Linked DNA regions of Oryzias latipes. The protein of the gene in region 3 interacts with the protein of the main gene of each other region in a biochemical or structural test. Links are inferred from orthologs where the notes say so. Each region holds a gene or a part of one and is shown on either strand. Other genes may lie near its edges. The genes, in order: grb10, tln1 and ret.

What was found.
Region 1: the proteins of ret (region 3) and grb10 form a complex in vitro, tested with the Homo sapiens proteins (2 studies listed by BioGRID). The link is inferred for Oryzias latipes from reciprocal best matches to the Homo sapiens genes RET and GRB10.
Region 2: the proteins of ret (region 3) and tln1 interact in a surface display test, tested with the Homo sapiens proteins (2 studies listed by BioGRID and IntAct, with this or other methods). The link is inferred for Oryzias latipes from reciprocal best matches to the Homo sapiens genes RET and TLN1.

Annotation. Positions count from the first base shown.
Region 1 is NC_019874.2:13,041,050-13,051,443, reverse strand, and holds the start of grb10 (growth factor receptor-bound protein 10), read right to left. Parts: upstream 5,015-10,394; 5' UTR 4,545-5,014; intron 1-4,544. Other genes in the region: protein cordon-bleu, read right to left, coding at 10,124-10,204.
Region 2 is NC_019870.2:24,787,144-24,797,470, reverse strand, and holds the start of tln1 (talin-1), read right to left. Parts: upstream 6,339-10,327; 5' UTR 6,131-6,338; intron 1-6,130. UniProt on the Homo sapiens protein: High molecular weight cytoskeletal protein concentrated at regions of cell-matrix and cell-cell contacts. Involved in connections of major cytoskeletal structures to the plasma membrane.
Region 3 is NC_019873.2:29,913,527-29,923,604, forward strand, and holds the start of ret (proto-oncogene tyrosine-protein kinase receptor Ret), read right to left. Parts: upstream 4,867-10,078; 5' UTR 4,622-4,866; coding exon 4,546-4,621; intron 1-4,545. Other genes in the region: heparan-alpha-glucosaminide N-acetyltransferase, read right to left, coding at 7,281-7,462, 8,454-8,566, 9,460-9,530. UniProt on the Homo sapiens protein: Receptor tyrosine-protein kinase involved in numerous cellular mechanisms including cell proliferation, neuronal navigation, cell migration, and cell differentiation in response to glia cell line-derived growth family factors (GDNF, NRTN, ARTN, PSPN and GDF15).

The DNA.
Region 1 (10,394 bases), on a different chromosome or scaffold from region 3:
AGGGTTAGCTGATAGTGTCATGACACCAGTGAGGGGGTATTAACAGAGTATAAGCCCCGACTAACCGGTGCTGAATGACTGCTAGGTGACGCAAGACCTCATGGAATGCTGCCTAGAGCGTGACTGCAAGCTCTTATACCACCAGTACCAGCTAAGAGGAGACCTCTGCCAGGTTTCCACCTAAAAAACTGTTTCAATGTCATTACACATAGACACATATCAATATAAAGATTTAAATCATCCCAGACACAAAGACAAATTGGGTGAGGATTAAAGACAGGGGAATGTAAAATATGTCCCAATTGTGAGTACTGTCGAGCCTTAACATATTAATATGTACATTTGCGCACAGTAAATGAGTCAAAAGTCTGTCAAAAATAGTACTTTTGCAAAATATCGTGCAATAAACGCAGTCTGACAGATTGTAATCTTGACAGGCTCGTGCCCCATCATGCCTGTGCTTATTTAGCATAGACTTGAAATAGCAAGTTGTCTGGGCAGTGGGGGGTAGGCGGGGAAGCTCAGTTAGTTGCCATGTGCACTGCGGTGTGACCAAAATACAAATAAATAGTGGGAGGAATTTTTTTTTAAAATCACCTTTAAAGGAAAACATCATTAATGTGTTTTCACTTATGCTTAAACTTGTATTTAACTATTAAGAATAAGTCCACAAAATCCACCAAATTTGGCCAAAGTGTGCATGTAAATTCAATGTATGGTGTGGGGGATGGGTGAATGGGGCAACATTGCAAACCAACAAGAGTTGGTTGCAAACTGAAATTATGGCACTAGATGTGACTACACAACGATGTCACGACTAATAATAGAGGCTGATATACTCTGGTCAAACTGTGGTGTGTCTCTGTTGCATTGCAACGATGCAAAAAATATAGAAACTTTTTTAAATGAATTGGAATGTTTACATCCTCTCCGTCACGTCTGCGTCTCAGGTCCAACACTCTGCAACGCAACGCCAGCTTTACGCAGGAGTTCTATCTCCAGTCCGTTCCCCCGGAAACACAATGACACAATACATGCATTTTAAAGGGAGGTAGTGAGGAAGGAGCGGGCATGGGGTCTGATTGCTTAGGTTCTGACGAACGAACAGAGCGGAAGGAACTACTCTGCACAGATTTGGCAGGACAAACCACTCCTCCAGGAGCCAGAGGGAGGGGGGAGGCAATGTAAACCAACTGACGGTCCTATGACAAACTCAATACGCAACCACAGAGTGTCAATTCGGGGTATTGTTTGGTTAATCTAACAGCAGTGCCAAGTATGTTGTGGACAATGATCCACCATGACCAAAGGGACACAACAACACACTAGTAGTCCCAGAAAAACAAGCGTTTGCTCTTCAAAACTTGCATTCACATTAAATAATCACAATTAGGGCTGCAGGACGTGAGGAAAACGTGCGATGTTCAATTTTGGTGATCGACGATATGAACAAATAGCAAAACAAATGAATAAACAACTAAAACAACATTTTCATTTCACAGCAAGATTTGAATATAAGGTCAACTTTAAATGTCTCACATCTATTAATTTATAGGAGGGGGGCATCTAACAAAAAAAGGGCTCCATCCGCTTGGTCAAATGCGTAAAGGGCTCTCCTTGATACTTTAAGCTCCCATGAGAGTGTATTGCATGTGCGTAAATATTTAAGGTAATCATTTACTGCAGTTTGTGCTGTCTGTTGCGTCATGCAAATCGCACGGCCCAATATTGCAACAATGAATTTGTTGTGCAGACCTAATCCCAATCAAATCAAAACTACATTTGAAAAAGTGTGCTGCATGTATTAAAGGCAACAATAAACAAATGTCCCTATAAAGCCACTGCAAGTACATTCATCTGTTTTTAATGCCTACATCTCTGAGAGAGAACTCTGCAAGAAGATGTCAATTGTTTTTTATTGAAATTTCAAACTAACAAGAGCCTATTTGGAATTTTTCTCACAAATTCAAATTAAGGCTGCTTCAAACCCTCTTTCAAATCTCGCAAATTCCAAGTAAGAACATTGATTTACAGTCAACCTGACTGCATCAATACTACCAGGAACCATAAATGTTTATGCAGCATTCTCCAGTCTACTGCTGAGCGTGAAAGACCCACTCCAATTACAAATGGGTTTTTAGCGTTTCTAACATGTTCTTGTGGCATTTTTCTGATGATGGAGGACGTAGATAAAGAAAATTTAGTTAAAAATTGCATTTCTGATTTTTTGCGTTATTCAAATCGTTGTGAATCAGACGAAAAAAAATGCGGTTTCAAAAAGATCTCCCTGCTCCAATATCAGATAGCTCCAATAATGCTCGCTATTTTTGTTGCACCGCTAATGTTTGCTACAACCAGTGTTTTTCAACCTTTTTTGAGCTACGCCAAACTTTAACCTTGACAAAAATCCCGCAGCACGCCAGCATCCAAAAATTACAAAAAAAAAGGAGAAACTCATAGTCTGTATTGATCTACAGCTCCTCTGCAATCTCACATGCATTTTTGTGATAATTGTGGCAGAAAAAGCTGGAAGTTCCAGCTGTGTTTTCTAAAATATGTAATAAAAGTTAAGTTAAAAGATTTAAAAACTGTCTGATGTGTGTTCAATGTGGTTTCAAGACGTTTAAAAAGGAAAGACTCATTGTGCGCTGAGATGCTGTCACTTTAACCCAATGCATCATGGGAGATGTAGTGCAAACAGACGCCAAACGCAGAAAGACTAGCGTCTCTGAGCTTCATTGTTTTGTTCACTCGTTCCACGGTCTGACTCTGGGTTTTGTGGCAAGCTACACCGCTAAAGACGAGCTTTAGCTGGTATTTTTGTTGGAACTGAGAGACTTTATGAGCTAAATCAGAACAAGGAAGTGAAGACTTTAACCACTTCTGATTGGTCAGACTGATGACGTGTGATTAAGACTCCAAGAATGATTGGTGGAGACAGTTAAAGGGGCGGGACTTCTCCGAAAACAGCTGAAGCTGCGGCTAAATCTCGGTACTGTCATTCTTATCAAAATGTCTTTAATAGAATCAAGTATTTTACGATCTTTCATATTCCTAACTCCTCAGTGTTTTATCAGGGCCTGTTTGGATGAACACAGAACTGATATCCTGGAGATGGTAAATGTTTTTAGATCAGTTAATGAGGGCAATTTCCCACGGCACATCTGACCCTCTCCCACGGGCACACTAGTGTACGTGCCGCGGCACACTGGTTGAAAAACACTGATCTAGGCAGTTTGAGAGGCTGCAAGCTAGCAAGAGAGAGAGTGCAAACAGATGGATGATGGGAAGTAGGGTCGGGCTTACGCCGTACCAATAGTACCGCCCACAAGTTCGAGGTGAATTTCTAATGAATTCCTGTCAGTCTGCAGAAACTAAATCCAAGAAAAAAAACACAAGTTTTTTTTAATATATTGGATGTAAACGGCATAATCATAAGTAAATGACCACTGGGAACGCTTTTAACAAAAGATCAATAGATGGTTGGAGTGGAGCTTTAAGCTAATTTTTTTGCAAGACTGTGTCAATAAATTAGGATTATCATGAAAGACGTGGTTTGTAGAGATCTGTTGTCACCGACTTCATCTGCAACTTCTTTTTTTTTAGCTTTGCAGAAATGTCATGCACTTTGATCATGTCTACTGCAGGGCTGAGACGAAGTGAAGTAGATTACAGGCAAAACAGAACTATAAGCAGATCATAGCTTCCTGAAAATGAATAAGGATATAGAAACTTTCATGTTCGGCAAGTAAGGTTTGGGGAGTCCTCCAAAACAGCCTCTGTAACTCCCTTAAGGGACCTAGAAACTGCTTTACAGTTTCTTCTTTATTTGTTTTTACCTTCCCAGTATCGACTGCAGGAATTTTCCTAGACATCCTCTGAGTGGGAGCTTTACCACACTGCAGGTCTACGTGAGTATCTCAGGGAAAACGCCTCCTCCTCCTCCTCCTCCTCCTCATCATCATCATCCTCCTCCTCCAATCTTAGGATAAAGCGATAAGGCCAGACTGGAACTCCCACACAACCGAGCTGGTGTTGAAACCAGAGGAGGAGGAGGGAGGGGGGTTAAAATAGTAGCCGGGTTGAAACAAGTGTGGGATCAAAATACCGTCCCCAGAGGGCGACCGGAGCAGCACAGCTCCCTCAGAAAGGCGTGGAAAAAACGCATGACATGCGCTGCAGTTTACGGTCATGCCTCGAGAATCCAGTTTGGAAGCAAGCAGAAGTCCACGTTGGAAAGAAAACATGGAGGGCAAAAAAAATAAAATAAAATAAAATAAAAAGCTCGATTGCATCGACTCCTTGTTAATAACTTGTTTTCAAAGTTGTCGCTTTTGGAGATGGAGGCAGGTCTGACTGCGCGGTTTTACGCACAGTGCGCACATGTGTTCCGAAACAAGCATGTGTCATCCCAGCGGCGCAGGGAACTTTTACCGCACTGACTAACCATCCTCAACCAAAACACACACACATGCTGAAGGAATGGAGAGAATTCTATCACATGCATGAGGAGCAGTAAAGCAAAAAATCAACACGCGCCTCACCTTTAGTTTAGAAACGGAGCCGTTCGGGGCAGGCAGGCGGACAAAAAACACTGACTGTCCGAAGACGAAGGACACTGGCCGGCGCTGGATCAGGCCACGTCGGTCAACATTCCCAGGCTGGACAGACTGACTGAGGCAAGAGGAGGAAGAAGAGGAGGAGGAGGAGGAAGAAGAGAGGAGGAGGAGGAGGAGGAGGCAAAAACAGTGGCAGCAAAGACTGTAGGGCAGCTCATGTCATGCGGCCAAGGGAGGAGGACACGCACGTACACGCAGACAAACCTGAACGCGCTCAAACAACCCCTCCCCTTTCTGAAAAAGGCCACGCCCACCACTGTCTCATGATGTGAGAAAAAGGGCGGGTCCAAAGGGTTACTCTGGTTCTCCCTCTTCTTTCTCTTTTTTCTTTTTAAAGAGCCAGATAAACAAATTATCGTTGGATTGTGCAAAATCACACTTGTTGGCAGATAGTTTTCACTTTTTAATGCTTTCTATTTTCATTTAACTTATTTTCAGAAAGCCTTAACTTCAATTTTTTTTTTTCACTATCTAAAGTGTATTAAGTTGTGACCTAAGCTGTAATGCTTCTTAATTTACACGTTTTTTGTATATTTCTTATGTTTAATGATAAAAATAATCCACTACATGGCTTCTCTTTGCAGTCTAAGTACCAATTTGTATTTGTTTTCTTTAAGTTTTGCTCATCAAAACTGATTTTTGAAAAAGATGTAATTACCTAATAGTTGGGGAAACATTACATAATATGTAATTCAGATTGTGCTCCTCCCAGACTGCTTGAAACATTTAATTCATTAGTCAAACTTTATCTTTGTTCCTTGACAGGATTGCTGAACCTTTTTAATATCTGTCTTCTTATGATTTGTTTCAAAACCCATAAACCAAAAAAAAGAAAAAGAAAGAAAGAAAAATAGTCCCTACAGCTGATAAAATAATAGGTATACATTTTCTTGAGAGGATAAAAGAGGTTTTTAATGATTTAAAAAATGATGTCAAGGTATGGAAATGTTTTAACTTTAAAATCAGAACAGTTGTAAGGCCAAAACATATTGATCATCATTTAGTTCTGACTTGCTTTGGAGCCAGATGCCTAAATACATTATTTATAACGGCAGGTATTATGACCTTTTCCTTAGCGACTCAAACCTATAAAAATTGTGTTTTTAATGTGTTCTACTCATTTTTTTGAGGACATATTTTTAAACAATTAGGCTTAAAGTTGCATTTCTGAGTATTTTTTTATTCAAATCCTTGTGAATCAGTAGCAGGGGAATAAAAAATGCGGTTGGAAAAAAGATTGTAGTTCCCTGCTGCGCTCTGTTCTGGTGCATCCACTGGCAGACAAATAGATCCATGTACGCCTTTGTTTTCCTCATTTGAGCTGGTATTTGTCTCCAAAATGCTTGACATTTTGATGTTGTGGTTGGATTTGTACTGTTAGGTTGGGGATGTGAGGGGCAGTAAGCTAGTGGGAGCGCGTGTTAACAGATGGATGTCGGGAAATAGGGGCGGGCTTCTTCCATGCCAATAATCCATCCACAACTCAGAGGTGAATTTCAAAACAACTACTTCTGCTCTGCGGAAACTAGGTCCAAAAAACAACAACTTTTTTTTTTTTTTTTGGCTAAAAACAGAACAATCATAATTAAAAGACAACTGGGATCACATTTAAAATAAATCAAAAGATCATCCGAGTGGGTCTTTCACAAAGCTCAGACTGACTTGATCATTTGTTGTATTTCACATACGTGTCACCAACAGTTCCCAAACACAAGGACTTCCAGGAGTCTCCATTGAAGACACATTCGTTTTGTGTTGTGACAGAGTTGCCTTAGGTAGCAAACACAACTTCCCTTATAAGAAGACCCTGTTCTGACAGGCACAATCTGCAGTAAAGCTGAATTCACAGGGAGGTACAAAGTTGCACAACCTGGGGTCAAAACTCATTGCGCCAGAGTTCCATCTCCGAACTGTTATGTTTTCATCCCTCTGAGTGTTTTCCTATTGCATAAGATATTACAGTGTTTATTACTAGACTGAGAGGAACATCAGAGGGGCATGTTATCTAACTCCTTTGTTGAAGCGTATAGAGATTTAAACACAAATAGAATGACTTGTAGTAAACCCAAGAGTACCTTCTGATTAATTTATGTCTTTGGCCACGGGGAGAACAGGGTTGACCCAGAGTTCAGCTCCTGGCTATCCAGCGTGTAATATTTCAGGTTTTTTGATGGGAAAGCACCATGGGACACTGAAGTGCATAAAATCATCAATCCTGAGTCGCTTGTGTGTGCTTGGATTAGGACATGGAGGCTCCTACTGTGTCCACACACTTATAGCCCCTGAGTCACACATATGCAAGTGCACATCATAGCCGAGGTGCCTCTACACAACAAGGCATTCATTTTAAGTCTGGCACCGTGGCATAAAACAAACACATACTGTGTGGATTACCCTTCATCAGACATTCATTATCACACAGTCTTTGTTCAGCTTGATGGATGAGATGCAAAAGAAAGTTCCCAGTGTAGGAAACCTGTCTGTGTACCTTCTGCTGGTAGATGACATCACAGTGTCCATCATTCATGAGTCAGCCCCAAAAAATGTGGTTAGCAAAAGAAATACAATATAATGATTTAATAATAATACTAATGTTTTTTTGTTGTTGTTGTTTTTGTGCAATAGGAGACTTTTCATTTCTTTAAATTGAACAAAAAAATGGTGTAAATACATATCAAAATAAAGGAAAATTTTATCTGGAAAAAAAGCCTTTCGTCACCATAAAATCTGGGTTCATAGGAAATGTTTCATATTTATAATTAAATGCTCACTGACTGTAAACTTCTATATTCAAATTGTGTAAACAGGAAAATAACAAATAGTTATCTTATGTTGAGAAAAGAAACAAACAACGGCCTTAAGGCTCTAAAGATAAGTAAGTAACCCCAGGTTGTTGCCACAGGTTTACAACAGCCTATAGCGTCATTTGGCCTATCACAATCAAGAAATTGTACACACAGTTCTTAGAAGGTGCTGTGTATTATTGATTTTATGACAGGAGTCTGTGAGCAGTTTGATATTTGAACGCATGCCTCATTTGGCCCACGGACCGCACTTTGGACATGCCTGCTCTAACATTTAAATAGGGAGGCAAAACCCGGTGAGTCTGCAAGTTCTTCCACTTAAAAATCAGGAAGGGGGTTTGACATTTTCATACCAGGTGCATGTCCACCGTGAGAGACAAAGTCTAAAAACAAAAAACCTGGAAATCACATTCAAATAGTTCTATTTAGCAGTAGCATACAAATAAAAAAACAAAACATGCAATGCTATTTTCACCTTTTTTATTTCAGATTATGTTTCTCTCACCTTAGACATGCGCATAATATGAAAATGTCAGACCTCTCCATGATTTTCTAAGTGGGAGAACTTGCAAAATCACAGGGTGTTCCAATACTTTTTTCCCTCACCGTTTGCAAATGGGCAGCACTTTATCAGTCAGAATAAGGTTTTGGTAAAGTTACAAACATCTTTACTTTAAGGCTTAAATGGGTTAGGCAAACAAAACTATTATAGTAATAGATGTGAGCTACGAATGCAGTGTCAATCAAATTTGTGGCTCTGGTCATTTCAGAGGTTGTTTATAATGGATGGTCTGGTTGCGCCAACATTGACGATGCAAGGAGTGGCTACAGCACATCACTGGGAGAACCGTAGACGTGCAGTCCAGAAAAGTGCAGGAACAGCATATATTCTGTGCAGGACCCTCAAGACCTCTGGTAGAAAACACAAGCTTTGGGTGAGGAGATTTCCAGCTCTACTTGGCAAATGTAGTCTAAAACACCCTTGAAGAATTTATCTCCAAATGTCTTTGTGCTCACACAGTATTTAATAGCTTATTCACTTCTTAAAAAAAACAACAACAAAGCACTATGTGAAGACTATTCGAATAATAGTTTCAACATGTCAGATTTATTTTTATCTCAGAAGAAGTGGCATGGAACAGAGACTCATATTTCAGGACTCGGGAATGCAGGGCCGGTTCTTTCAGAGTGACTTTGGATGACCACATAGCGATGAGTTAAGGCCACGAGCTACTGCCCGGAATAGTGGCTCCACTGCGGTGTGGCGGAGCGGTCGGGATATAGATTTTTCAAAACAAGGAGAAAGACTGGAGACTTGATGCAGCACTTACTATTGCGCAGGCAATGCAAGAGTTTCAAAATAATCAAATCAGCCTCTTACTTTTATTTCATTTGTATTGTTTTTACAAAATGATTCATTTAATTCTCACTTAGATAAACAAAAAGAAGGATGCCGCTCGAATCACACTTTTGGTGATCACTTGGTTAGTTTAGTTAGTTTTTACACTACTTTTGAAAAACAGCATACAGAAATGTAATTAAAAAGTAGGGAATAAAAAGAAAAGTTTTGACAGATTTTAAGAGTTAATGGGAAAAAAAGAACAACAAATGATTGAAAACCCACTTCATCTAAATGAACCTTAGAGCAATAGCAAACATGTAAACTTGAAAGAAGATGTACTAAAATCATCTTTATTTGAAAGACAATTATGTGTGAACAGAAAAACAAACGCTAACTTTTGTTTACCATGTAATGGCAGCATGGGCTTGAGCTGGTCATTTGTATTTTTAAAAAAAAAAAGCAAAGTGATACGCAAAAATCCTTTAACATCTCCTACCCCACATTATGATTCAGAAAAATCAATCGCTGATCTATAACAGTGCTTTGAAATAACAGATGCTGAGAGAACTAAAGGTTTTTAAGTTCCCGGTGAGCAAAAAGGAACAAAAAATCAGTTCTTCCAAACTACTTCTTAGATTATTTTTAATAACAAATGAGAAAAACGCAAGCTTAATAAAATCCCGCACTTCTTTTTAGTCCATCTCAGCAATTTACAGCACAAGTTGGCATCATGAACAAGATCTTCCAGTTTATCCACTTTTTTCCCCTTTAATTCTCTTTAAGGTGTTAAAGCAAATAATATACATTTAGAAAAAAAGTAATCATCACTTCTGTACACAGCAGAAAAGCCTATAGCAGTAATCATAAACATAACACTGACTGAAGAGCAGTTTAAGGCATCAGTTACATTTTGTGATGAACATATTTTAGATTCTCATGTATCTGCTTTCATTGGCACACATTTTGTTCAGTGTTCTGAATTTTTAATTTAAGGTACACATGGCATTCAGGAACCAGGTCAAAGCTGGATACAAAGATTTTCCAGTAAATTTATTTTAAGAGTGAGCTATGAAATCTTTACATCTTTCTCAGATTGTTTTGGCTTGGTTAGTAAGAGCCAAAAATATCCTCTTCAAGAAAAATGTATTTTTTTTGCCATTATAAAAAAAAAAAACAACAACAATATATTATTGAAACACCAAAATCTTTCTTTGTTCATTATTTTCTCTCTCTCTCTCTTTCTGTTATGCAAAAACGTTTGACAAAAGTTTGTTGCAAAATATCCGTGGCAAAAGTGCGCAGCAGAAGCGGCCCGCTCAAAATACTCCTCATCATGGAGATCTGGGGGAAACCGCGAGTTATCGAGCATTTGTCGGGAAAGTTGCTTCAATGGTTCCCAGCCTGGCGTTTACTTTGACAGTCTTTGTGGGCACAGAGACCTAAGAGAAGACAAGATAACATGTTACGGTACTTTTTTTCCCCCCCCCAACATGTAGCCACAAGGGAGGCCCGGATCTGGGTCTCCCTGTGCCGGTCCCTAGCCTGGGTATAATACAGGAATGTGTCAGAAAAGGGCATCTGGCGTAAAAATCTCTGCCTAACCAAATGTAGGCATCAGTAAAGCTGATT
Region 2 (10,327 bases), on a different chromosome or scaffold from region 3:
TTTTAACAGCAATTTGATTTATATCATACTTTGTGGTTCTGAATGGTTCATTTTGAACAATCCAATTCCCTGACCTCAAATTGATCATCTTTAGCCAAAAATTCAACCAGTGGGACTCAGGCTGTATTCAGACTGGACACCTTTAGTTTGCTTAAAGTGAACCAGAGTTTCTTTCTCTCGATAATCCAGAACAAATTATCAGTCTGAATACACCCAAATGGACCCTGGTTCAGGACCAAGAACCGCTCTCTGACCCATCTTTCGAAGTGGTCCATTTCCAGAGCAGAACAACTGAACCAAAACAGCCACCGTAGCCGACATAAACAGAATAGAAATGAAGCAACAGATGAACCGCGGACAAATGTAAAACAATGATTGTTGTCTTATCAAACAGACAAAAAGGGTCAAACTGTTTGTTTGGTAGAACATTTATTTTAACACGGCTGAAAACGCTTCTTACACACTGTGTCGTTATACAACACACGCTGCTGTGACGTTACCATAATTGCTACATTGTGGTTCTGTTCCTTAACAGAATTCTCTTTAAAAAATATGCACCACAATATACACCACAATGATGAGACACTGCAACTCACTGAATTGTGGTTGGATTAATTCAGGCTCATTAAAACAACTTTGAACTTGACACACATTGCTTCTTACACGGTTTTTCCCGACAATCTATATGTCATGAACACTTAGCAGTGTACCTTCTTACCTGACGTCTCCTCAGCACTGCAGTTGCTAGCATCCTCTGACTTAAAGCACATATTTATAAACTTTTAACAAGTTAACAGTCCCGATAAGAATTGTAAAGTGCAGCATGTCCCTCTTTCTCTTGTTGTTTTGACCCACCCTCGTAATTTCTGGCAAATGACTGACGAGATCTTTAGTCATGTGGTTTTGTTTACTAGCTTTGATCCGTAACAGAATGGGCCACTCGATGGCAGTCTGAATACAGACCAAACACGGGGTTCAGACTTGAACCTTGTGTAAAGCGGACTCGATCCAGAACAAAGGATTTTTCCAGTCTCAGAGATAACAGTTCTGGTGACGTTTTCCAGACTCCTTGTATTTCTTGCAACATAATCTAGTGTAATATGTGTATAAACAAACAAGTAAACAGGAATTATTCGCAAATCCATCTATGGGTGTGTGTTTGTGGACATTCTACCCTGCGACAGACTGGCGACCTGTCCAGGTTGTCCCCTGCCTTCGCCCACAAGTGGCCGGGATAGGCTCCGGCAGCCCCGTGACCCCGAAAGGGAAAAACGGTCAAGAAAATGAATGAATGAATAATGGCTTCTTGTGTGGAATAGAATGCAAGACCCTCATAGAATAACATAACATTTCCCGCCCCAGCTGTGACGGAACTGTCCAGACGTCTGACACAGTCTGAAGGCATCAGTCTGTGCAGCAGCAGGACCATGTGCCATTATGGCCAAATATGGCTGAGCTTAAATGCTGCACTTCATTCTGTGTGCAAGCCTGGAATGAAAAGCAGGTTTCCTTCACTCAAGTGATGACAAACATCTTAGAAATAACACAGGATTTTGAGAACCACGCTTTAAAAAAAGAAAAAAGAAGTATTAGTCGCTTCATAGAAATGTTTCAAGGTAAAATTGTTACACAAGTCTAAGAAAGACTTCGACACGCATTAAAAGACATGTTGATTCAACAGCTATCCTCACGACAAAGTGTTCAAAAGAAGCTTGTTTACGAGCATCACCACTTGTCAAAAAAGAAGCTGCACAGAGTGACAACCAGAACCTTCTGCTGCAGAACAATCTGCCACATCTAAACCAGGTGACCAAGAATCAAAATCAATATTAATATCAAAAGTAGACGCACTTAGATTCCACTCTGATCATCTTTTAATCTATTTTCAAAGCATTCCCACTGCTCTTTTATTTGTGAATATGCTGTTTACAGACAAAATCAAAAAACCTCTGTCATTTTATAGAAAATCGTTCATGCAGAGCGGCTGTGGTTCATTAGAAATTCAGCTCTAGGATGTGGGTGACCTGTAGGACCAACCTCACCTCCAATACTGAGAGCTTTCTGTTTACACTCTCTCCTGCTAGCTAACAGCCCCTCACACCCCCAACCTAACATTAGCAGTGCAACAAAAATGGTGAGCACTATTGGACCTATCCTGCCGTAAAGTTCTGATCCAGATTCCAGCTCAGACGAGGAAAAGAAAGACGTTCATGGATCTATTTGTCTGCAAGTGGACGCATCAGAATGGAGCAGAGCAGGGAGCCTGTGGCCTGCCCAGTGTATTTTTCTACATCACAAATACGCTCTTCTTTTTTTTACAATAGGCTTTTTTTTATTTTGGTTCTGATTCACCACAATTTGGATTAAGAAATATGCAAAAGTTTAATTTTAATTTCCTTCATTGATATGTCCTCAATTGTTAGAAGAATGCCACAAGGTTTGCTTCCATAAAACTAACTTAAATCTTTTAAGATCAGTTTTGAAGAATTGCAGGTATTTTTTGGACAATTACTAAAAATAGAAAAAAGTATTTTGAGGATTTTCAGTTTGTGTCATAAAAGTCTGTCTTTCATATTTCCACAAAACTAAAGAAAAATGACTGCAGAGCCAAAACTTGTTTAAAAACACTCAGTTTTGCATTACTGGGAATGGAAAATAACTTTGATTTGGCAATTTTTGCTTTTTTTAAATTATTTTTTAATGACTATACGCATAAACATTTTAGTCAAACTGAGCAGACAGCAGAAAAAAAGGAACTCTTGAGACAGAACATTTTGATCCAGACTAGAAAAAAGGGTCCCTGCAACTTTTCGCGACTCCAAGCCCATCAGGACTGACTGCACGGCCCCTTTAGCAGTCAAAGGTTTCAGCATCACGTTTTCTTTCAAAAGTGCTTCAATTCAATGCAAATGTGCCCAAAGCGGAGCACGTCAAGCATGCTGCTCTGCACACCTACACCGTTGCCTGTCACCCTTCTATTTCTGTCATGCCACTATGCTATTTAGGAGCACACACAGCTACGGCGCTAAGCTGTCTTGTTTGCAAAGTGGGTTTTGAGCCGACACCAACAGAGGTCTGCGAACACTGACTTCTCTGAACAAGCACCACCCAGGTGTTACTTCATCACGCTTTCTGTGAAAACGGGGAGTGTGGAGCGTTGACTCATGGGAGCTCCTTCATCCTCCCTCTGCCAGCCCCTCTTCCCTCCAACTGGAGGACGGTGAAATTCCAGTAATTCCTAACATATTCTTTCATGTTTCTGCTCTCCATAATCTTGAACAACTGTTTGTGTTTCAACCAAACAGGATTTCAAAGAACTTTTTTTTTTTTTTAATCACTACTGCTACATTGTATATTTTTGGGGGATTTCTCGTAGACTTTTTAATCATCATTCTTTATTTCATAATGAACCTCAAAAGTGCTCCAAAATTGAGACAAGGTGTTTTGATTGACAGGTAAAAGTCACCCCTATGGTCTCAATGGTCATGTTGCAACAGCTGACAGGATCAATGTTCACAAAGGAGGGCCCACTCGCCCAAAAATATTAGTCAAAGCGGCTCAAAACAGACCAATGGTTAAAAGTTCTGCTAAAGTCTCATTAGCTCCACACATATTTGGTTTTCCACATTAAACCCCTCTTCTGGGGAGGAGGGAACCATACAAGACTTGTCTGCGGACATCAACAGCCAGAACTGGAAGTCCTCAACCAAAACCAGAAGTCCCCCCATATTGTTCAGGGGGGGAAAAAATCCCCATTTTAAACTTGAAGCTTGACAGGTTTTTTTTTTAATCTGAACTCTTTTTGGGGGTGGGATTTCGGTTCCAGCCAATGCTGTTAGGCGCCATAAGCAGCCAGGTCCCTATCGAACCATTTGGTGGTTTAACCCCTCAATCCAACCCCTTAATGCTGAGTGTCGGGCAGGGATGCACTGGGTCCCATTTTTAGTCTTCGGAATGACGCCACCACAGATTTGAACTTATGACCTCCCAGTCTTAGGATGAACGTTGCACCACTAGAATCACATAAGGCCCTTTTAACACGCCGTTTCCTTTCTGCCTGTAAGGCGTCTTTTTTTCGCCTTGGTCTGAACTGACCCACTCGGCCTCTGCTCCACTCCAGAGGTGCAACTTGTCTAAGCTGCAAACAGACAATGACCTGTTATAGAAAGTTTTTTTTTTTTATACCAGCAGGTATTGCCCCAATATTTTCTGACTGACTACTTTTCATGGGAAATGTGTTTAATTGCAGGAGAGAATTGAACAGCAAACATCTTTTCACCAAAGTGAGACCAAGAGACCTTCCACACTGCTGGGCCACCTTTCCACAAACAACATCAGATAAAGACAAAAGGTCATGTTTCTCTGGTTAGTGGTCAGTCATTCTCCCCAGGAGGTTATAATTAATACGAGAGCATCTGGTCACACAACACCAGACACCCCTGAACTGTTTTTTAAGACAAAGTTCAATGATTAAGCATACATTTATACTTCCTCTTATCTTCTGAAGCGTTCTTTTTAAAATTATATTTAGATTTAAAGATCTTTGAGGAGGAGGAGTTAAAACCCTGAGAATGATCTTTTCCGGCTCACACCAAAAGGTTCCCAGAAATGATGCGTGCATAGAAAAAAAAGCCATTATAAACCATTGTTTGGTCCCATCATTGATTTATTCTATACGTTAAAGTCCCACTCGATCATCTTTTAATCTAGTGTAAAGTGTTCCCAGTGGTCTTTTAATTATGATTATGCCGTTTTTTAGCCACATTTTTAGGACATAGTTTCTGCAGAGCAGCAGACGTTCATCAGTACTTCCCCAGGTGGGACCCCTGGCACAGAGCAACCCCGATCCCCCTACCCGTCACCCACAACTGAGAGCTCTCTGCTTGCACACTCTCCCACCATTACATCCCCAACCCAACATTACCGGCGCAACAAAAATGACAAGCAAGGTTGTAGCTATGGATCCAGTCGTACAGTTTTAGAACCAGATTACAGAGGAGGAAAACCAAGACGTACATGCATCCATGGATGCATTAGAATGAAGAGCAGGGAGTTCATGCCGATTTCTCGAACAGTAGCCCCCAAAAACATTGACTAAAACAAAGTGATTCTGTGAAAAAATTGATATCCTTGTGAAAATATAATATATAATATTTCTCTCATGTTCTTGTTCATGTCCAGGAATATTTTAGAACATTTTTATATGTGAATCTACATCAGATTTGACTAAATTACTAACTGAAGTGCATACATTCATTTGTTTTGATATACTTCAGGTGCAAACCTGAAGAATTCTTTTTTTCCTATGAACTTTTAAAAACCCTCCAAAAGTTGTTTTTCCTCAAAATGTAAATCACCTGAGGAAATACTGAACGTTTTATTTCAGTCCATCAATGAAGAAAAGATGAGAGTCGAAATCTAAAGTGAAACAAAAGAATGTAATTATTCGTGTTTGTCGCATGTTTTCAATGGTGGTTATTTTGATCTACATCCCCATCTCTCTTTTGTGTTCGCAAGAATTCCTCTTCAGCTCCGTCAAACTGAAATAGACAGTAGTCGCGTCACACTCAGATCTCTCAGCGGTGTTAGTAGTGGGATTCCAGCCGCATCCAAACGGGAATGTCAACGAACGACTACAAAGCAAAGCCGCGCGGCGGCTCGTCCGCGTGCAGGAAGAATGTGCAGCCGGAGGCTACAGGTTGAGAGCGCGGAGGAACACGCCCAGGAGCGGCGCGGTGCGGCCCGCAGGGCCTCCTGATGGGAGCCTGTCCGAAACACGAGCCGCGCGACCCGACGGGCTTTCGTGTAACCTCCAGGGCGCAGCGGCGGACACACTCAGTGGGGCACACTGTGTGCCCCACTGACACGGCGGTTCAGCTGCGTGCGTGCGTGTTAGCGTGTGTGTGTGTGTCTGTGTTGTGAGGGGAGGGGGGGGCAATGTCTATGTGGCGCGTGTAACTTCAAACTCGTTTCCTCTTCGTGTAATCTTAACTGTGCCTCGCGCGCAGCCGTTAGCCGTAAACACGTCACTTCGCTCAGGTTCTTTTGATCGTTCTGGTGACGTCACAGACCCCTGGCCACAAACTCGAAACTTTCGAAGTTGGTAAAATAAAAACTCTGAAGGTCTGACCTGCGCGCGGGAATCCGATTCCGTCGACGGCGGCGCTTCCAGCAGTGGGACCCGCCTCGTCGAACTTTTCTCCACTTTTAATTCCAGAACAAAATCCGTTTTTTAATGACGGAAGAGGCCAAGCGCTGCTTTTCCTTCGCTCCCCTCCCTGTCTGCTAGGAGTTGTGGTGCTGCTCAAACTCCACCCTGACGAGGCGCGAGGGTGGAGTTTGCGCAGCACCCTCTGAGCCCAGCTGCAGCACAGCGATCCGGTCTGTGTGCGTGTAGACCGCGGCGGTACCCGCCCGCAGCTGGACAGCTTCAGGTCATGCCACCGCTGCTGCTTTGGACAGAGCGGGACCGCGCGCGCTCAAATACACGCGGCCTTTAAAACCCCCTCCAGCAGAAATAGGGTGCTTTAACGTGTTCTTGTAGCATTTTTTTCTTGATAGAAAACATATATTAAGAAAACTGACAGTTTTTTTTAATCAAATCATTATGGACAACCACAATGCAGTAGGACTTACAATGACAAGCCACTAGCTCCCTGCGCTGCTCCATTCTGATGCATCCACTGTAGTCAAATAGATCCATGTACAGTACAGACCAAAAGTTTGGACACACTTTCTCATTCAAAGAGTTTTCTTTATTTTCATGACTATGAAAATTGTAGATTCACACTGAAGGCATCAAAACTATGGAACTGGAATTATATACATTCCAAAAAAGTGTGAAACAACTAAAAATATGTCATATTCTAGGTTTTTCGTAGTAGCCACCTTTTGCTGGGATTTTTACTGCTTAGCACACTCTTGGCATTCTCTTGAGCTTCCAGAGGTAGTTAGTCACCTGAAATGTTTTTCACTTCACAGGTGTGCCCTGTCAGGTTTAATAAGTGGGATTTCTTGCCTTATTTATGGGGTTGAGACCATCAGTTGTGTTGTGCAGAAGTCATATAGATAAACACCTGATAGTCCTACTGAATAGACTGTTGTAATTTGTATTATGGCAAGAAAAAAGCAGCTAAGTACAGAAAAAACGAGTGGCCATTATTACTTTAAGAAATGAAGGTCAGTCAGTCTGAAAAATTGGGAAAATTTTGAAAGTCTCCCCAAGTGCATTCACAAAAACCATCAAGCGCTACAAAGAAACTGGCTCACATGCGGACCGCCCCAGGAAAGGCAGACCAAGAGTCACATCTGCTGCTGCGGATAAGTTCATCCGAGTCAGCAGTCTCAGAAATGGCAGGTTAACAGCAGCTCAGATTAGAGAGCAGCTCGATGGCACACAGAGTTCTAGCAGCAGACACATCTCTACAACTGTTACAAGGAGACTGTGTGGATCAGGCCTTCATGGTAGAATATCTGCTAGGAAATCACTGCTAAAGAAAGGCAACAAGCAGAAGAGACTTGTTTGGGCTAAAGAACACAAGGAAAGGACATTAGACCAGTGGAAATCCGTGCTTTGGTCTGATGAGTCCAAATGTGAGTTTTTTGGTTCCAACCACCGTGTCTTTGTGCGACGCAGAAAAGATGAACGGATGGACTCTACATGCCTGGTTCCCACCATGAAGCATGGAGGAAGAGGTGTGATGGTGTGGGGGTGCTTTGCTGGTGACTCTGTTGGGGATTTATTCCAAATTGAAGGCATACTGAACCAGCGTGGCTACCACAGCATGCTATTCCATCTGGTTTGCGTTTAGTTGGACCATTATTTATTTTTCAACAGGAAAATGACCCCAGACACACCTCCAGGCTGTGTAAGGGCTATTTGACCAAGAAGGAGAGTGATGGGGTGCTGCAGATGACCAGGCTCCACAGTCACCAAACCTGGACCCAGTCAAGATGGTTTGGGGTGAGCTGGACCACAGAGTGAAGACAAAAGGGTCACCAATGTTGGAAAACCATTTCAGGTGACTACCTGTTGAAGCTCATCAAGAGAATGCCAACAGTGTGCAAAGCAGTGATCAAAGCAAAAGGTGGCTACTTTAGAGAACCTAGAGTATGACATTTTCAGTTATTTCAGCTGGTACACTGTGGTCATAAAGGGATGGACGTGGTCAGCAACGATACTCAGGTAGGCTGTGGCATTGGACCCATGGTCAACTGGTACTGAGAGGCCCAAAGTGTGCAAAGAAAATATCCCCAACACTATTACACCACCACCAGCCTGAACCATTGATACAAGGCAGGATGGATCTATGGTTTATGTTGTTGATGCCAAATTCTGACCCTAACATTTGAATGTCACAGCAGAAATGGAGACCCATCAGACCAGACAAAGTTTTTATAATCTTCTATTGTCCAGTTTTGGTGAGTCTGTGTGAATTGTAGCCTCAGATTCCTGTTCTTAGCTGACAGGAGTTGCACCCAGTGTGGTCTTCTGCTGCTGTAGTCCATCTGCCTCAAGGTTGGACGTGTTGTGCGTTCAGAGATGCTCTTCTGCAGACCTCGGTTGTAACTAATGGTCATTTGAATTACTGTTGTCTTTGTATCAGCTGGAACCAGTCTGGACATTCTCTTCTGACCATCAACAAGGCATTTCTGTTCACAGAACTGCCGCTCACTGGATATTTTCTCTTTTTTGGACCATTCTCTGTAAACACTAGAGATGGTTGTGGGTGAAAATTCCAGTAGATCAGCAGTTTCTGAAATACTCAGACCGGGCCCGAATGGCACCAACAACCATGCCACATTCAAAGTCACTTCAGTCCTCAAAAATGATGATTATTAGACAGGTGTGAGGTCCACATTCCTACTATTCCATCAGTTTTTTAACCCTTTATGCGACACACCAGCCTGTTTTGCTGACCTATGTAAGGCATTTCCAACTTTTGATTAATATTGCTCAGACTGTAGAGTAGTTACAGGGAAGCAGCCTGCAGTGGAGAGATGTGTACCCTATTAAGACATTCAACTAAAGATTTTTGAATAGATTTAGTGCAATTAAAACGTGTCCATATCCTCCTGACGACCAGCAATGCAAATTTGTCCTCAGACTAGGACATTTCTAAACCAGAATATATCTGCATACTACTGGGGGTTTTCAGGGATACCAAATTTGAAGGGGTGGGGTTCTGGGAATTGTAGTGTAAGAATTGACTGGACAATTAATTTTTCTCTAGTCAGGAAGTTATTCAGAAAAGCAGATTTACATTTGAAAAGGGGACAATTACAATAATGAGCTTTCCTTGGATTGTGCTATCCTTCCATGCCACCAACCACTAATATGGAATCAAACCATTCCTGGACACAGACACACACAATGATGTTCTCAATGTGTCGGTTCATAAAGGTAGATGTTTTTTAATTTGACTAATACAATCATGATAGAGGCTTATTTTGTGATAAAGTTAAACACGTCAATAGGGTGGCTTCCTAGCTGTCTTTCACCAAGCTTTGAAAGCATCAGTTGCTTTGATTTATTTTTAATTTAGTCATTTATTTTACAGGTTAATCTTTCTTAAATCTATTGTAAATGAGTTCCCTGTGGTCTCTTAAGGATGTTTATGCCGTTTTAGTCAAAATAAAAGAAATCTGTTGTTTTCTATAGCATAGTTTCTGCAGAGCGGCGGTAGGAAATTCACATCCGAGTGGCTTAAACTCAATAAAGTTCACTTTTTTTTTTATCCGAGTCACACTGGTAGAAGTTTTGGCCAAAGATGTCCTGGATTGATTTTAGGTCAGTGAATCGGTTTATACTGGACTTTATTTGTCTGCCTCAGAGAGGACTGATGTGAATCCTGGTTTGACATTGGTTGTCATGTCAGTGTTTTATTGAAAACATAATTTTCTCTGGTAGGACAAACAATTTTTACTTCTACTTGAAGCAAACATGCATGAGTGACATGCAGACAGGAAAAAAAAAAAACATTACTGCATTTCACCAACAAAACTCAAGGTGGCAGTGTTGGTCCTCAATAAGCGTGGCTCCTGTTCTGCATTCTAGTTCCAGTCAAAGATTAACTGTTGTTAGTTCAATGTGGTGGCCGATGGGGAAACTCAACTGTTCTGTTGGATCCACTCCTGAAGTTCCGTTGATTACCAGCTGTGAAGAACACATCAGAACACCTCTCAGGTTCAGAATCCCTTTATTCATGCCTTTACATGACTCAGCAGATCCGAACACACTCATATCTACATCACATAAATAATCTGACTTTGTTCTGTACATGATCACTGATGCTAGAAAAGGTCGGTTTGAGCTCTGAGACCAGCC
Region 3 (10,078 bases):
TTGGATGGACGCCCCCCCCTCCACCCAGCAAACAGCATCTCTAGTCTGTGAGGATTTTTCTCCTTCCTGCTCTTTAAAGATGCCCCATTGAGGCACAAACAGGAAGAAATTCAACAGAGCCGCGCGGCTGATTCGCGAGGGGGGGCAGGTTTGTTTGTGGGGGCGGGGCTTTCAGAAGATGTGGCTCATATGAAGAAAGAGCTCAGATAATGCAGCCTCTCTTCAATCAGTGTGTAAACATCATACATGTGTTTTACAGCCTCCGTCCACCAATAAAACGGAAGCTCGGCGTCTAAACATGGCGTCATCTGCAAAGATGAAACCGTGGTGCAAACAGAGACGCTGTTTGTTTCAGTCGCTGTTTCCAGGAGGCATCCGGCACTGCCGGCCGGAGACGCGCTCCCACCACATCACCTCTCCACGCCCAGCAGTTTTTACGGCGCCTCGCTGCATTTTAGGTGTTCCAGAACAAAGATCATCACATGACCACGTCTCAGGTGACTTCCAGAGTGTCTGGGACCGGTCAGAGCCGATAGGGTGGAACGCCCTCGCCATCGTCCCAGACAAAGACAGGAACTCAATTACCTCAAGCGCACTTCAGATGAAAGATTTACCAGCTATGAGCTCATGCAGCAGAGTCATCCGTGCCCCCACACTTAAAGAACAGGACGTGGTCATGTTTGATGCGCCGCATTGAGAAGAGTCTTGTGGATGGAGCAGAGACCAGCCCAGCCCGGCTTCTCCTCCCTCAAGGTCAACGTGTGACCTTTCAGTTCCTGCTAATAACCTCATTGGAGAGGCCGTGTTTCTGGCAGCAGGCTAATCAATAACCGTGCTAATCAGCAGTGATGCTGATTGTTTTGCACTGATGAGACGGACACGGCTAATGCTGACGGCTGAATCCTCTTTTCCTGCTGCGCGGAGGGCAGAGCGGTTCTGATTTCACCGCCGGTTCCACCTTATCTCCATTTTCTAATCTATAACCAAACGACTGCACGCAGCGACACGACGGAGACATAAACACAGCAAACCTCCAAAGCTCTGGCAGTTATGAGAAGGATTTTCTCCACAGATTCAATTAACTAAAAAGCTGCACATTTGACAACAATTCCACCTTAAAAGCTGTTATTGATCAGAATGTTTGGAGGTCTGGGTTTCCTGTGTTATTATGCGCCGTTGCTTCATCCTGTCACACAGCAGTCAGAACCTGGATCTGATCAAATCAAGCCTGCAGCGATTTTAATCTCCAAACATGGAGGTCTAATAACAGGACGGCCATTTCCTGTTATGATGACACACTCATCCCACTTTTCATCAGCATGATGAGATATACGATCCGGTTTGGAGGAGGCGGTCAGGCTGCAGGTAGATTACTCAGTTTACAGCCATGCATACCATAACATAATGATCAATTACCCTGTCATGTAATCCAATTAGCCCTGAGAGAACACGAGAGCTGAGATGCAACGATCCATGTTCATCGCTCAGCAAGAAAGCAACAGAACATTTCCCCAAAGAAAATCCGCAGTTTGGAAATTCCTCTGGGGGGTGGGGGGTGGGGGGGGCATCAAACCTTTGTCCAAACTGATGCTAAGCCACAAGATTTCCTTCAGATTCTGCAGAAAGCACAGATCCATATGAGCGATCGTCAAGCTCCAAAACCAACATGGATGTTCTGGAGCTTCAATGTGCAGAAGAAGCTTCACAAGCAGCACAAGGCAGCTGGACGCCATTTATGACGCCTCACAGACGCAGGTGATCCTGCAGACGTTCCTGCAGACGTTCCTGCCGAGAGCAGCCAGTGAGCAATGAGGGGTGGTGTGTGTGGGGGGGTCATTTTAATGTTCACTTTCATGAAGCAGTTATTGAAGGTCCAGAGGGCTCAGACATCAACACAGCTGTCATGCACCTCCAGACACCTCCATCACCTCCACGCTCCTTCATGCACCTCCACTCACCTCCACACACTTCCATCACCTCCACTCACCTCCACTCACCTCCACGCTCCTCCATCACCTCCACGCTCCTTCATGCACCTCCACGCACCTCCATACAGCTTGGTGCAGCCATATCATTGTCATTTGCTGGGCTCAGCCTTCTGGAAGGTTCTAATGTTGCAGCCGTTCAGCAGCAGGTATCTTACAGCCATTTTGAGGGCTACTTAAATCTAAAGGCTTGTTGGAAAAATAAACATGAAGCCAGAGAGACAGATGGAAAATGAGCAAAGGAAGGAAAAGGAGAACATGTTGCTGTGACTGCAGAAATGAGCCGTGCTCTCAGGTGAAACACAACCCTAATTTTTACTGTTAAGAGCACATTGTGCATTAGAATGAGCTGACTTTGCTCTGTGATCCATTTGCTGTTGTAAGTGATGGTCGGGCTCGGTAAGCACGGCTTGGAAACTGGAAAATAACTTGTCAAAACCCATGTGAGACAAGGGGGCTAAATGCCCTGAGGGAGAAATTTCAATCAATGTCTCCTTGTGCTTTCACCGCAGCAAATTAGATTGTTCCTGTGCATGGGAGGGAAGTGTGACCCTGAACTGACTGCAGGATGAGACGCAGAGCTCTGACAGGTACGGGGGGCAGCCTCGTCTGCGATGGAAACAGCAGCGGAAGCAAAAGCCTGGAGTTTACGCTTTGCATCTTCATCCTGGAGTGCAGGAGAAGGGCGGAGTCTCACAGCTTCCACAGGGAAATTCACCTTTTGCACCAAAAAATGCCAAAAATGTTGCAAAAACTCAAAGCTTCGAACCCAATGCTGTGGCTCTGATCATGTTTTTACTGTAAGCAGCTCAGAGAGGAAGTAACCACACAAAACCTTCTAATCAAATGTCTCTTCTACTATCTAAAACCTTCAGCTGCTCCAACAGCAGCTCTGAATCCTCCACTGTTTGGTTGTAATAATGACTTAGACTTTCAGTGGTGCTGGATGTGACATTGAAACGGCATCTATTACACAGAAAAATGTCTGATCCAATCAGGAGCTAAATCAAATAGCAGCAAGTGTCAAAGGAGAGTTATTGGTCTGGTTCTCCTCAAAAAGTGCTGATGAAAGCGACGATGCTGAAGTGAGGAGGAGGAGGATGAGGGGAAGGTGCTCTGGGCTGAAGGAGGAGTGTTAGCACTTTGTTTCAGTTCCTCAGGTCAGAGGTCAGCGCCGGGTCAAAGATACAGTAACAAGGTCAGAGAGGACGACAAACGGATCAATGCTTTAATGTGAAAACATCTGCGCTCCTCCGGCGGATCAATCTGTCCACAGATGAGATTATTTCCACCAGACCCGGATAGAAAAACGCTCAAAAACACAATATTTTAGTTGAATCCAAAACCCAACGAAGTAAGGTGTTGTTGTAATAAATAACAGCAAAAATCTGTGATGGACAGAAACTTCACTTCATCTGCAGTTTCTGTCCCCATGTCGGACTTTAACTAAGAGAAGCTTCTAAATGATCCTTTCAACACGCCACTATTATAGATTTGAATAAAAAACAGCAAACTGTAAACTCCTGAAGGCGGGAAGAACAGAAGTCCTTCAGAGGACGGTGACGCCATCACCCAGAAGATCTTTGTTCCAGTGAACCAGCAGCTCCATGCAGGATGGAATCGGGTTGGCGTGCGCCCTGCACCTCCTGCAAACAAACAGCCATGTTTGCCCAGAGACAGCAGCTGCTGCACACCTGCCTGCAGCGCCTGCCTGGACGCACGGCACGCACGCGGCTCTTTTGTTGCTCGGAGCCGCCAGGTGATGGAGGTGATGGCTGCGGTGCCGGGCCGGACGGGTGTAGATTTCAGCACCCCTTTAATTACCAGCACAGCCTTGACTGGGTAAATCCAGCGGGGGGAGCGGTGACCTTCGGTCCACAGAGGAGGAGCCATGTTTGGGGCTTCAGTCTGAACTTGTTTTCCTCGTGAAAGATCATAAAACCACAGCATTTATTTTATGAAGAGCATAAAGACGCTCTACACCCATAAAGGGGGGATTAGAAGTTTAATAGCCCCCACTTCAGGTGAAATAAAGCAGCAGAAGCTCGATGATGATGGGGCATTTCAGAGCTTTTTGCCCCAACTTCTAACTCTGATTGTGAATCTGTAACAAAAGCAGAGATCTTCTGGGGGTCCAGCCTCCTGAGTGACGCACTCTTTAAATTTAGACCGTGTTGGGACAGTTGGGCTGTGGGATTGTGAATGGGATTATAATATTATGGGGTGTCCGACAGACTGACCGCTCTCTGCGGGCCATCGGAGGAACATCACGCACTCGAATCACGCAGCTGCTGAAAAGCTTTTCGTCATTTTCTCTTTCACCTGAACATGCGCAAACTTCTGCGCACTGAGCTGCTTTTTCCTTCAGATGTTCATGAATTTGTCAAAGTTCCGTCCAGTTTAGCTCTAATATACATCCCGGAAAGTTCTGGTTCCGGTGTCTAACACAAAAAAAACCCGCAGTCCGCAGTGAAAACCACGCAGCCACAGTTACTATAACATGTTTTCCGCTCAAACCGGGTGTGTTTTCCCGGTTATCCGGGATGAACCGGCGCCTTACCTCCAAGCAGCAGCAGCAGCAGCAGCAGCTGCAGCGCAGCGGCTGTTCCCGCACAGAAACCACAGCGTGACTCCATCCCGCACCACCATTAGGGGAAAGTTTTCAACGCAGACACAATCCACGCAAGTTCCTGCTTCCAACCCGCAACAGATACACAACCGGGAAAAGCCCAAAAAGTTCGCGCTGAAAGGGAGAAGACACCCGCAAAAGACAGACCCCCGCGTGCGTCCTGCGCGCGCCGCTCCGGGTAGACAGATGAACTCCTCACCGTCCCACCGACGCGCTGCAGAGAGAGGCTCCTCCAGCGGTGGCTGGGTGTGTGTGTGTGTGTGTGTGTGTGTGTGTGTGTGTGTGTGTGTGTGTGTGTGTGTGTGTGTGTGTGTGTGTGTGTGTGTGTGTGTGTGTGTGTGTGTGTGTGTGTGTATATGGGCAGCTCCACAGGGGTGTGTGTTCGCCCGCGCGGGGGGAGGGGGGTCATTCATCAGCAGCTCATCAACTCATACCTGTTCTGTGGACCTTCATCTTTGTTTTCATTCTGTTCACTTTTATGCAAACATTTTAGAATGACATTTTTTTAAGTTTCTCTGCGGCTTAAAAAAGCTTTAGAAATAAAAATACGAACTATTTGTAATAAAACTAAAACTTACGTAAGAATTCACAGGCAAAGATGATGTTTTATGACGTCATGATGTTCTGAGCGTAAATGTTTCTCACTGAGACATCTGAGTGATTCCTGACAGCTGCACTGCCTTCTTCCCTGGGGGGGTCATCTCCCTTGTTTTGTCCTGGATGTTAGGGACAGACCCGCCTCCCTCGACCGTCTTCATGCTGTGGTTCAGGGACTCTCAGGTATCTGTTTGGGCATTTGCTTTTTTAAATTCTGATTTCATGACTCACTTTTCTTATTTTAGCCTTTTATGCTAACATATCAAGAGCCTTTCATGTGTGGTCAAATTGTGGGAGACCTTTCCCCTGGGCCTGGGGGGCTGAGGTATGACAGGCTGAAGGGATGCTGAGGCGAGGCCAAGGCGGCGTCCTTCCACCCCCTGCCTGATGCCAAAGCGTGAGGCTCTCAGAGCGAACAGGAGGTCACAGAGCTTCCTCTGTTGACAGGAGAACAGCACCTCCTCCTCCTCTGCCATTTTAAAACCAATGATTCCTCTGTTTGCAGATGTTTAGTTTGCATTTCTGTAAAGACATAAATAAGATGAAAACAAAGATGCAGAATCTGCTGGAGACTGTTTATGTGGGCTGATAATGAAACGATTCTCATAAAACTCCTTCAGGTTTGGTTTGGAATCACAAAATCAAAAACGTTGATACGGAGTGGATTCTACAATCTGAACAAGTGTGAAGCACCTCAGAGCATCATGGGAGTTTGAGGACACGATCACATGACATCAGGAGCCGAGCAGGCGGCTGGAGCGCAACAGATAAAGTTTCCATACGGCAGCCTATAGGTATCCTGAGACTCTGTGTGGATCAATAAGACGAGGAAATGCGGCGAAGCGAACATGCTGAGCAGCCGCCGTGCGTTTTCAGTACTGATGATCATGCTCCCAGATGAAGGGGAGGCGGGGCCTGCAGCAGAAGTTCAGGATGAAATAGAAGCAGAATATTGATCAGTGGTCTCATGTTAAAGAAGTCGCTGCAAAGGCGTCGGCACACAAGAACAAACGATGCCGGGATCTCCACCCACTCCAGGTTCCAGTTTGAAGATGCAGAAGGATCTGCACCCTGAGACATTCTGCAGGGGATCCCACCAAACTCGTCTCCACCACCTTTGACCTCCCGCCACTCCACGGGAAACCAACCCTGGCTCCAAATCATCTGTCAATCACAGCTTCCACCGGACCAGCAGCTCACCTGCTTCATTACCCATCCAGTCCAGAACCCTCCACGTTGGTGCGGTTTTCTTCTTGTTACAAAATCTGAGAGTAAATTCACAAAACTAAATGCAGACCATGGAGGACGGTTTGGCTTTGCTGAAGTGGAGCATCTGATGAATTTAATGGGTTTCATTTCCCTGATTTACTGATACAGAGAATGGAAGAGGTGCCAGTTCCCATTAACAGCACTCCTCTGAGAGCCCTGCATCTTGACCCTGTTCAAGTACTGTCACCGGGACAGCAGATGGCACACACACACACACACACACACACACACACACACGCACACACACACACACGCACTGAGGGGAGAAAGAGTAGTGACCATGGTAACGGACCTGTAATGGTTTTCCTGGTGTGTCACTGAATCACTTGGCCTAATTTGTTAAGTAGCACCTTAATATATTTGATTTAATCATCTATTCTGCGCTGAAAACAAGTGGCATGGAATAAATCCCACGCTGTCCCCCCTCATGTCTTCTTCACAAACAGGCTGAGGGGGTCCAGGCCGCCGCGGCCGTTTTTCAAACATCCTGACAGCAGACCTGATCAGAAATGGTGAACGGCGTATCCGCCTCCAGCGCTTTACTACGTCACGTTCATCCATCAACACACCCACACTGACGAGCACTGGCACCAGCCGACAACCACAGGGAGCAGTGTGGGGTTCAGTGTCTTGCCCAAGGACACTTCAACACATGGGAGGGCAGGAACTGAACCTGCAGTCTTCCGATAAGAGGTCGACCGCTCTACCTCTGCACCCGCACAAACCTCTCAGGACTAATGAGGACCCTTTCCCATCCATGTGGTTTATTTGTCAGACAGCGGTCAGTTTCCATACGCTGGTCATATTCTGAGGAAGAAGGCCTTCCTGTAGAGCAGGTAGGCGGCCAGCACCCACAGGGACGTTCCCCACACGCCCTGGAACAGGAATTCCCAGTGGCTGTCCTGGAAACGCATATTCCAGCTGAACGGGAAGTAGAAGCCCAGCAGGGAGTGTCCGACGTACACCAAGATGGAGTTCATCCCTGACAGCAGAGAGGGAAACGGTACAGGGAGTCAGACTTTTACAGCAAAACAAAAAATCTGTGGTTACTTTGATTCAACATTTGGATGTCTTTTGATGAACGATTCATAAAATAATAGAGGACAATTTTCTGTACAAGTCTTTACTTTTCTTCATTTGTTTTCATCTGAATCATTTCTGCAGAATAAAAAGACATTTTGACCAAATGATGCTAAAAATCCTCCAGAAAGACGTCATTTTGTTGTTAGCCTGCGGCTGCGGCGGCATCCATGTGTTCCACACCGAACGATCAGAGGCGGATTCCTGATGAAACAGTGTTGGTGTCACATCTGCTCCATCCGCCTTAAACCTCCGTCTCACAGCCTGCAGCTCCACCTGCGTGGTTCATGTTCGGGGTGGTCGGTCCAGGTCACCACACCACCTGACACGCTGCTCCGAGGACACATCTCTGTTTAACACGGAGCATCATCATCATTTCTGTCTGTTCTTTGTGTTTATTTATCCTCTGGAGACCAAATCCAGACCCTCGTCTGTCTTTGATTTGGTTCATTCTCAGGGCTGGAAATCCAACCTGCATAAATCTCTCTTTTCACATCTGAAGCGTTTAGCTTGTGCAGACCAGACCTTCCCAGCATCCTCAAGTTGGACAGCTGTGTCACTTTGGACACAGCTGGAGCTGATTTTGTGTGAAACTTTAACTGTCGTTTGGATCAAGACAGATTTAAAAAACAAGAATCTCTGCGTTTCTTATTCCTCAGAAAACGATTTTCATCAACTTTTCTTTAAATGAAAAGTGACTTTTATGACACTCTGCTGGTTTGTAATGATTCCTCCTCTCCAGCATCACTATAACGGCGTTTTGACTGATGCGTCTGGAAAAGTCTCTAATCTGGATGGAGGTCGCTGACAGAACATGTCCGTGTGGAACAGTCTGCCAAAAGCCGTGTTGCTGATGTTTTGCGGTTTCTGCACAGGTTTAGTGTGAAAATGACCTGGATAAAGGAAAGGCTGTCCTCCCCACCAGCCCCGGACGTCGATGAGGAAATACATGCCTCCAAGCAGCAGGAAAGACAGAGCGCCCGTACACGTCACATAGGACAGCGACCTGCAACAGAGGACACGCAAAACCTTTACGACCAGAGAGTCCACGGCTGCACATGTGACCGTCAGGGATCCTGCTGGACAGTAGATCCTCCTCCGTCGACCCTCTGGAGCTCCGCCAGCCGGCCGTGTCCCTGTCTGCTCCTCAGCGAGGACACTTTGATGAAATGCCTTCTAATGTCAGACGGCGGCCTGCTGGCTCCGCCTCACACAGAGCTTCTTTGTTTTTATATCTAGTTGAAGTGGAGCCAAAAAAGGACTCTTAGCTGGGAGTTAATTACTTCTGGACATCCAGGCAGGGACTTGTGCTCCTCCGCTCAATAACCTGTGCATGATGAACTGCCTATAAAAGCCAGGCAGGTACAGTAATGGCGAGGAATGAGTGTGGCGTTAGTGCAGGGCCCCTGAGGACCATCAGCAGGAATCTGCTTACACATCACAGATGTAATGGTATTCTTCCCACTGCAGCGTAAAAATGACTCACAGTTTGCTGCTTGGGACAAATGAGCAGGTTGTAAAGTCATCTGAACGCCGCAGCGATTTGGATGTGAATCCAAAGATTCATCAAGAAGATTTCTGCTCTGAAATGAGCAGAGATGCTGAGGAAACGTCAGATTACACTTTTCCTAGAACTTCCTCCCTTTCCATGCAGCCAAACCTGGAAGACATGCAGAGGGGCTTCAGGGATGGGGAGGGTCTGTGAAGAGTGATCATGTTGGGCATGTGTACAACCGCTGTCTGGCCCCCCCAGCAACCCGGGTGATTATTTACAGTCTCAGCTGCTGTTAGAGGTAAGTAAACGCGTGTTTTAGCAGCTCTGATTTGTGTCTGTTGGAAAGCCATCCTTTAGTTTTGTGAGGAAACGTGGCTGGATTTAGAGGCCCAGGAAGCACTTACCAAAGGTTTTTATTGACAGGTATAAATCCTCCGTCTCGTGTGCACTTAGAAAGGATGGCTGCTGAGATTCCCTGAGGGTGGAAATGAAAAAGATTTCAAATCGATGACGAGCAACAAAGCCGTTTGTGTTGTGCTACAGAAAAGTGATGCAACAGAATCCCTGGAGATTAGCAGATTCTCTCAGAGTCGGACTCAACCTTTCCAGCGGAGGTTTTGTCATTCCAGTCAAATGTAAAATGTGTAGAAATGACACATTTGTACTGAGTTGATGACCTGATTTACAGCCGCATCTTCTCATAATCTGATTAACTCTGCATCAGTGCAAGCCTTTATTGTCTCCTTTTTCCACCTTTCCATGTGACTTGGAAACATGAAGAAAGGCTTCGTGCACAGAATCCCAGCGCAGAGATCAGAATCCCTACATGCTCGTTAGCTGGGTATCCATCATGAGTACACATGACAGAATCGATGGCGTGGAAATAGCCTGGCTGCGTCTGGGTTCCGCCTCCGGGCTCCAGGCAGCATGAAGCTGGACGGGGCTGCTATGTGGGGCAATCGCTCAATTTCAATCTCACACTCCTGGATCGTTGGGCTTTAATTAACTCAGGCTACTGTTTAT